Drosophila melanogaster: one gene and its partner. The protein of the gene in region 1 interacts with the protein of each later gene in a pairwise test. Each region holds a gene or a part of one and is shown in the gene's direction. Other genes may lie near its edges.

Region 1 (4,237 bases):
GGAGGACATTCCGCAGAGTCCGGATAGTGTGTGCTCGCTGGGAGAGTCAGTGCCATCCGTCTGCTATGCCAATTGCCAGCGCTGCAGCTTCGCCAGCAGCATACAGGAACAGCGATCCTCATTGTTCATCCAAGAGGAATCTAAAGAGGCAGAGCGCAATCAGCAGGTAGAAACAGAGGACTCTCATCTAGCCGCCAGTGAAGCAGCACTCCTGAGGCCTCGTCCGCGTCCAGGCAATCTTCGATTGCCCACTGGCTCCATTTCATCAATGAGGAACCTCGGCAACGATCAGTGGAAGGTTGTGCGGGGCAATTTCTTTATGATCTGCGGCGCGAACATAACCTGCGCCTGCGCCAGGAGTCCCAATGGCATCTCCCGTTACAGTCATCTGGGTGATGGTTGCCTGGACCTGATTCTCGTGAAAAAGACCTCACTGCTCAACAACGTGCGTTTTCTGCTCAACACGGCGGGCAGAAGTGGTGATATTGTGAGTACTAACTATTACAACTATTCAACTTTCACATCCAAAAGAACACCTTTCCTATAAGAGGCGTCCATTTCCTTTGAAATAACATTTCCATAACATTTTAACTGCATCTTTAATTGCCAAATCCCCTAAGCCTACAAGCTGAGCTTAGTGCTTTCTATCCTAAAAGCCAAAAACCCAAAACCGAACCCCATCTAGCTCGGATTGAAGCGAGGGAAATCTGTGACAGAAAGGTTATTTTACGAAGATCTACTAGCCGCTCTGGTGGCATCCATATAAAGTATATACTTGACCAGTTTCAACAATATAATGTTTTATCTAGTGAATGCGATGGTATCTTTTACTGTAAAAATATAAATGAAAAATAAAAGGATACAATTAAATTTTGTAGAAAACAATAAATATTTAAAAACATTTTCCCATTGCAGCGCAATTTGCCTTTTGTAGAGGTATATCGCACAAGGGAATTCCGGTTCAGAACTTTTTCTGCCAGCGAGGAGGACTACAGCTTGGCAGGGTCTTGTCAGCCGATTACACCGCCTGAAGAAATGACCGCCCACTCCTCCTCGACGGAGTTTTCCAGCTGGAACTGTGATGGAGAGGTGGTGACCGACCTGGACATAACCATGCGGTGAGTTGGTTGTACCTTTAACTTCAATAAATCGCTTATTAACCGTTCCGTATCTGGCAGATCGCATTGTCAGCTCATCGAGGTCTTCATGCGGGGTCCCCATTCCTACAGCAAGCCCCTCAAGGGCGGCACCACGCCCACAACCCCAGCTAGCTCTAGCGACAATGTTTACTGCTGCTGCAAGGACTAGAAGCTTTAACCCCATAGAATTAGCATCAATCGTTGGCCGTGACATGTAGCTCTTAGTTTTGCGTAGGGTATCCTTATTCGTATATGTATCGTGTTAAAGAGCGGGTCTCCCCGTCATTGTTTTTAGCATAGCTCAATAAAGCAACTGATATTATCGACTGTATTATGGCATCTGAAAGATGCGGCAGCAACCTAAACATTCCCCTCGGAAGCATTATGCACATACCTATATATTTACAAATTGTGTACTGGTATACTGGCAATAAAAATGTATTTATATGTCTTCAAATTTATAATTCTTTATTATTAATTTATATGATCAAATGTTATGATAAAAAACTTCGTTGGGTTCCCAAAAACAACAATCCGGAACATGTGCGTTTTTCCCACCAATATGAATAAAAGCAGAAGTTTTAGCAAAAGAACCTTATTCCGCTTAAAAAGCTATGGAGAATCGTGTTCGAAGGGAGAGAAGGGAGATATTGGATTTGTAGATTGACCAGGATAATTTCCAAACGTCATTTACATTTATTGCTCTCGATTCTTATACTTTAATGACCATTGAACGGCTTAAAATGAAGTAAAGCAAATGGTCATTATATATTAACTAAACATATATTTAGTTTCAAGGAGTAGTAAATACCGTAGAAGCAACGGGTATACATGAGTCTTAATCCTAATTGAGTGAAAAGTTCTTTAATTTCTTATCTTTCTTCTCCTTGATTTGTATTATCAACGAGGATTATAAAGACAAAAGTAAAAAAACAAATTCAGTATAGGCAGCGTGGTGTTAACTGTTTTACATTACTTTTAACATCAACATCTAATAAAATGTTAAAAAGTTCACAATTAAACTTCAAATTAATTTAATTTAACACATGTAAAACGGTGTGACCAAGCTAATAGTGGATTCATCTTTGGTATGTCTGGTATTTTTAGCTACCGGTTGCCGATACTGGTATTGCCGCCCGCCTAAAGTCTGTTCACACTGCGCTGACTCTTGATTTTATTTGTGCCCGTCATTCTCCGGCAGCGACAAACATTTCAAAGTCTCGCGTTATTCCAGTCTCCGAATAAATTAGCATGTTGAACAACTACAACAGCCTAGCGCAGCCCATGTGGCAGAACGGACCCGCTCCCGGCGAGTTCTACAACTTCACGGGCGGACAGACGCCGGTCCAGCAGCTACCGCGGGAGCTGACCACAATGGGACCCTATGGAACCAAGCACAGCACGTAGGAACTGCGGATATGTTTATATGCAGATGTACCACTTGTTTACACTCCTTTTACTATTCCGCAGTGCTTCCAGCACCACGGGCACTTCCGTGCTTGGCATTCGCTATGATTCAGGAGTGATGCTGGCCGCCGACACCCTGGTGTCTTACGGATCCATGGCCCGCTACCAAAACATTGAGCGCGTCTTTAAGGTCAACAAGAACATCCTGCTCGGCGGGAGCGGCGACTTCGCTGACATCCAGTCCATCAAGCGCAACATCGACCAGAAGATGATCGAGGACCAGTGCTGCGACGACAACATCGAGATGAAGCCCAAGTCCTTGGCCAGTTGGATGACCCGTGTGCTCTACAACCGTCGTTCGCGGATGAACCCCCTCTACATTGACGTGGTTGTCGGCGGCGTGGACAACGAGGGGACTCCGTACCTGGCCAACGTGGATCTCCGTGGACGATCCTACGAGGACTACGTGGTGGCCACTGGTTTTGCCCGCCATTTGGCCGTTCCGCTGGTCCGTGAGAAGAAGCCCAAGGACAGGGACTTTACCGCCGTAGAAGCTTCCGAACTGGTAAGGAATTTCGAACTCTGATGGGGGGACTCTTCATTATTTAACTACCCTACCATTTTCTTATATTCTAGATCCGCACATGCATGGAGGTGCTTTACTACCGCGATACTCGTAATATTTCCCAATACACTGTGGGCGTGTGCAGCGTCAACGGATGCGGCGTGGAGGGGCCCTTCCAAGTTAACGAAAACTGGACATTCGCCGAAACCATAAAGGGATACTAGAGCCTCCGATTCTGAATGAACTTAGTTTAGGTCTAGCTCGGCGGTTTTGCATTAAAAAAAAACACTTGTCTAAGGATATGTGGTTACATGATTTATTAAAAATAAATGTGGCTGAAAATAATACGTTTAAAGTTATGGTTATTGTGTGATAGAAACTATCTTCGAGTTATTCTTTCGTTAATCTCTACTGATGGAATCAAAAAGTAGGCGTCAAACTAAGAAGCCCAAGGGAGTTTCCAAATCTAACTTGGACTCACCATTACGGTCTTACGTTCCTTATTTTCCCAAATTATAACCATCAATTATCATTAAAAGTTTTATTTTAGTGGATTTGTTGGTTATTCCTCCCGGCATTCAACTTATTAATTAATATGCAAACACTCCTGACAAACATATTTTGGTTTATTTTAATTAACATAAAATCTGGCTAAATATACAGATAATCAATTTGATCCAAAGGGGAATTTCGCAAAGGATAACTGCTTGGAATACGTGTCTTAAGTCGCCCATGCGCCTCCTAATCTCCGCCAGCTGCAAACCGAACCCCTTGTTAGTTTAGCATGGTATGCCTGTCGTAGATGTGGCGTCTCTGCTCGCGCACCTGCCGCTTCCACTTGTCCTGCTGGTGGCCCACACGATTGAGGACATTGGCTCTGGCACTGAGCTCCTGGTTGTTGACGGCTGGCAGGGGCGGCGTTGGTTCATCCTGGTTAGAAAAGGGTGGAAAAATGTGGAATTAGTCGAGGTGATCCAAGATCTGGCCGTGTTAGTTACTGTCTTAATGAAGTGACGGTGTGGGTTAGAAAGTCAACAAAATCTATAACGCAAAATGAAACAAAGGTGGTTGTGGAAATTAAAATCTATTCAAAAGAGTGGTGCTTCTTTATTGCCAACTAGTTGAG
Region 2 (4,400 bases), 7.1 Mb from region 1:
GGATACGCAAGTAATTTATTGATTTACCGCAGTCAAAGCAGAATCGTCAACGGCGCCGGCGGATGGAACTTTGGGAAAGAAGACCTCCGCGAGGGTCAGATCGAAGGGGTGGCGCGGCACGAATGTCTTTTTGAACGGCGGACGTATGCCGCCGCGCATGGGGCGGCCACCTCGGAGAGCTCCGCGAACCATATTCCTGTGGGGATGAATTTTTAATAATTTTCGCAACGCCGGAGCGTTCTGTTTTTTTTAACAGATAGGTAAACAGTGTGACCGAAGCTGGACCGGTAAGGAAACGACATCAAAGATGGGCTAAGCGCGTTTTCAAAGTATACCGCATAAAATATTTTTAGAGGGCAAACATTTTGAACATTTAAACATTTTACTACATTAGAATGCATAAATTGATTGAATTAAAATACGGAGACTGGTGTTTTTAATCTGCATAATTTTGTAGTTGTAGCTAGTGCAACAAGGTTTCTATCAGTTCCAGGAAAACGCTTTGTTTACAAGCAAAGTGCTGATTTTTATGTTGATGGTCTTACCCTTTTGTTGTACAAAATTCCGGTGCTAAAATCGGATTAAAAGCGCATGAAGTTATTCGTAAGTAGTTGAAAATCGCACTAGAGATGAATCCTAATGTTTATAGTTTTCAGAACTATGGATCTGGCGAACGTAGATCAACGCCCCGTGAAGGACGAACCACCTCAAGAAGACACTTTCGAAGAAGAATTAATCTTCATTTCTAACAGCGACTTCGAAGAGCTTGAAAGCGAAATAAAGATTGAGAACTTCTGTAGTTATGGCAAAGATTTGGAGCCAGTTAAAGGCGTCCCGTCGAAGCTGAAGACGTGTAAATCCAAAATAGCAAAGAAGCGCCCCTTGCGAAAGCAAACAGATACGTTTAAGTGTACCCAATGCCAAAAGACGTTTACAAGAAAGGAAAACCTCGAATCACACTTGCGACTTCACGCAGAAGAACGTCCGTTCGAGTGTTCCCACTGCTCCAAGAGCTTTGGACGCAGGACGCATTACAAGCGACACTTGCTCAAACACGAAAAGCGACCTCATAAGTGTTCCCACTGCTCAAAAACCTTTACCCAGAATTCATCGCTTAAACAACATCTGCATGAGCACACAGGAGAGCGCCCCTTTAAGTGTACCCAGTGCTCGACGTCGTTCGCGCGAAAATCTCATCTTCAGGTACACTTACGTACGCATAGTGAAGAACGACCCTTTGAGTGTACCCATTGCGAAAAGGCATTTAAAAACAATTCACATCTCCAGGAACACTTGCGAACGCATCAGGAGGCACGGCCCTTTAAGTGTTCCCACTGCTCAAAGAGTTTTAAGCTAAGATCAATTCTACAAAAGCACTTGCTGACGCACGCCGAACGATCCTTTAAGTGTACCCAGTGCCCGAAGACTTTTCTGCAGAATGATAGTTTGCAAATTCATTTGCGAGTGCACGCGGGCGAAGACCCGTTCAAGTGTCCCCATTGCTCAGAGACCTTTGCAAGGAATTCGAGACTTCAACTACACTTACTTGAGCACGCTGGAAAAGAGCCCCTGAAGTGTTCCCAGTGCTCAGCCACCTTTGCCATGAGGTCACTTTATCGAGTCCACGTGCGTTTGCATACAAGAGAGCGACAGTACAAGTGCGCCGAATGCTCGAAATCTTTCTTCAAGAAGTCACATCTTGTGGAGCATCAGCAAGTGCATACGGGAGAGCGGCCCTTTAAGTGTACCCACTGTTTCAAGGACTTCAAATGTCGTACGCATCTTCGGGTGCATATGCTTGATCATATTGGAGAAAAGGTACCCAAGTGTTCCTACTGCTCGAAGGAGTTTAAACTAAGCTCGCAACTGCTGGTGCACCTGCAAGAGCATACTGGAAAAAACCAATTCGAGTGTCCCCACTGCTCGAAGTCCTATACAACTAGCTCGACTCTTCACATGCATTTGCGAACGCACACGGGAGAATTGCCCTTCAAGTGTTCGCACTGCTCAAAATTGTTTGCGAGAAGCGCAGAACACCAGGAACACTTGCGAACGCATACGGGGGAAAAACCCTACAAGTGTTCACACTGCTCAACCCGATACACACAAAAGTCCAGTCTTGGGCGACACCTGCGGCGAACCCTATGCGGCACTAAATCGGATTAAAACCAATTAGTTTAGAATTAACTTAGAAATAATGTAATAAGAAGTAAAGTAGGCGAAAATAAATAAATGAGTTTAAATATTTTTTTAAGTTTAGAAATCGGTAGTGTGCCCATTTGTTTAGTCCCCCTGATCGACCTGTACCATATTTGGCATTCAGCATTCGGTCACACTGCCGCCCAATTGCTGTGTCATTTTTGTTTCTGTGCGAAATAAGTCGGCTTTTTCATTTTACACATCAAATCACTGCATTTGCGGCCCAGGAAATATGGCTACCGAACGATACAGCTTTTCGTTGACCACGTTCAGGTGAGAGCATCGCTATAGCCGGAGCGGAGCATTCGCTTCGCCCCGCGCAACACAAACTGCCGCCATGACTGGGCAATAAGTACAATTTTCTACCGTTTGCAGTCCTTCCGGAAAACTCGTCCAACTGGAGTATGCATTGGCGGCCGTATCTGGCGGAGCTCCCTCCGTGGGCATTATAGGTTAGCATGCCGCACAGCCAGTCAGCCTGTCAGCCAGTACTGTGCATTCAACTAACACACTATTATTTATTTTTCTTGGCTGTAGCTTCCAACGGCGTCGTCATTGCCACAGAGAACAAACACAAGTCACCGCTGTATGAGCAGCACAGTGTACATCGCGTGGAGATGATCTACAACCACATCGGCATGGTGTACTCGGGAATGGGTCCGGACTACCGCCTGCTGGTCAAGCAGGCCCGCAAGATCGCCCAGACGTACTACCTGACCTACAAGGAGCCGATTCCAGTGTCACAGCTGGTGCAGCGCGTGGCCACGCTCATGCAGGAGTACACTCAGTCCGGGTAAGTGTGCGCGCTTTTCTCGACTTTGGGTTCCCATAGATAATCGTATGCAATCCCACCAACAGTGGCGTTCGTCCCTTTGGCGTTTCCCTACTGATCTGCGGCTGGGACAATGATCGTCCGTATCTCTACCAATCCGATCCTTCGGGCGCCTACTTCGCCTGGAAGGCCACTGCCATGGGCAAGAACGCAGTGAACGGCAAAACTTTCCTGGAGAAGCGGTAAGTACCAATAATAGTACACCAATTAAAGTCGCAAGTCACTCATATTTTCATCAACCTGCAGCTACAGCGAAGATCTGGAGCTGGACGACGCTGTTCACACCGCCATCCTTACGCTGAAAGAAGGTTTTGAGGGAAAAATGACTGCCGACAACATTGAGATCGGAATCTGCGATCAGAACGGATTCCAGCGTCTGGACCCCGCCTCAATCAAGGACTACTTGGCCAGCATCCCCTAAACTTAAACGCCCCGCTAAGATTACCACAAGCTAAGCTTTCTTAATAAGTACGGGACATTAAAAAACCAATAAAATTTTACAACTGGTGTTATTTGATATTCAGATTTTTATAAATAAGCCCTTTGTGGTAAATTCACTTCGCTCCGATGGCCTCAACGTATCCGGCACAAGTCTCTGGGTCAAAAACGAACAGATTACGGTGTGGCGCCTCCAATTTAGTAACCACCTTGATGACCTCTTGTGCCACAACGCCGCCGACAACAGCGACCGCTGGCGAGATCTGTGCAAAAATCAGACCTAGAGCTTCGTCGCCCAGTATAGAGTTGGGCAGCAGTTCGTCGCGAATTCCGCGAAGCAATTCCAGGTCAGCTTCTCGGGTCTTGTAGCTGGGATCCCGCTTGTGGGTTGTGCGGAACTTTTGCAGGACACTTAATAGCAAAACACCCGGGCCATTGCGCTTCAATTTTCGCAAATAACTAGGCTCGGTAACATCGAAATCAAGCCAGGCAGAGTAGCCGGGATAATCCACATCACGCTGCGTTGGAATGGACACGGTTTCATACTTCTTTTTCTTCTCCGAATTGGCTACGACCTTGTGCTTAATAACATCCCTGGAAAAAAGGTGGACATTAAGTTAGCAATGGGCAATGGTAGGTAGGGAACCTACTCGACGTAGCTGTGCTTCTGCAGACTGGCAAAGTAGAACCCGAAGGTGCCCCACACATCGGTGGCTATGAACTTGACGCCCAGGTCCCGGCAAATGGTGTCAATGCGCAACAGTTCCTCGTTGGTCGCGCCATTGACCACCACAACGTCGAACTGACCGAAGAACTCAGAGGTCTTCTCCTTCAAGGGCTCGCGGTCGGCGGAGATGTCCACCATGGGATTGAGAGCACGTGCCCGTGTCAATGATGCTTCGGCCCGGTTGGTGTTCAGCGATTCACGGGG

What was found. Proteins that work in one complex are often made in the same cells at the same time.
Region 2: the proteins of Prosbeta7 (region 1) and Prosalpha2 interact in binary tests that used the Drosophila melanogaster proteins (3 or more experiments, as listed by UniProt).

Annotation. Positions count from the first base shown.
Region 1 is NT_033777.3:5,356,229-5,360,465, reverse strand, and holds Prosbeta7 (proteasome beta7 subunit), read left to right. Parts: upstream 1-2,101; 5' UTR 2,102-2,390; coding exon 2,391-2,542; intron 2,543-2,609; coding exon 2,610-3,111; intron 3,112-3,182; coding exon 3,183-3,335; 3' UTR 3,336-3,454; downstream 3,455-4,237. Other genes in the region: Cerk (ceramide kinase), read left to right, coding at 1-487, 916-1,118, 1,179-1,308; CG1161 (uncharacterized protein), read right to left, coding at 3,886-4,041. UniProt on the Drosophila melanogaster protein: Non-catalytic component of the proteasome, a multicatalytic proteinase complex which is characterized by its ability to cleave peptides with Arg, Phe, Tyr, Leu, and Glu adjacent to the leaving group at neutral or slightly basic pH.
Region 2 is NT_033777.3:12,429,010-12,433,409, forward strand, and holds Prosalpha2 (proteasome alpha2 subunit), read left to right. Parts: upstream 1-2,311; 5' UTR 2,312-2,431; coding exon 2,432-2,472; intron 2,473-2,574; coding exon 2,575-2,651; intron 2,652-2,736; coding exon 2,737-2,992; intron 2,993-3,057; coding exon 3,058-3,213; intron 3,214-3,277; coding exon 3,278-3,452; 3' UTR 3,453-3,547; downstream 3,548-4,400. Other genes in the region: CG5641 (uncharacterized protein), read right to left, coding at 28-192; CG5245 (uncharacterized protein), read left to right, coding at 661-2,166; Aos1 (activator of SUMO 1), read right to left, coding at 3,586-4,063, 4,120-4,400. UniProt on the Drosophila melanogaster protein: The proteasome is a multicatalytic proteinase complex which is characterized by its ability to cleave peptides with Arg, Phe, Tyr, Leu, and Glu adjacent to the leaving group at neutral or slightly basic pH.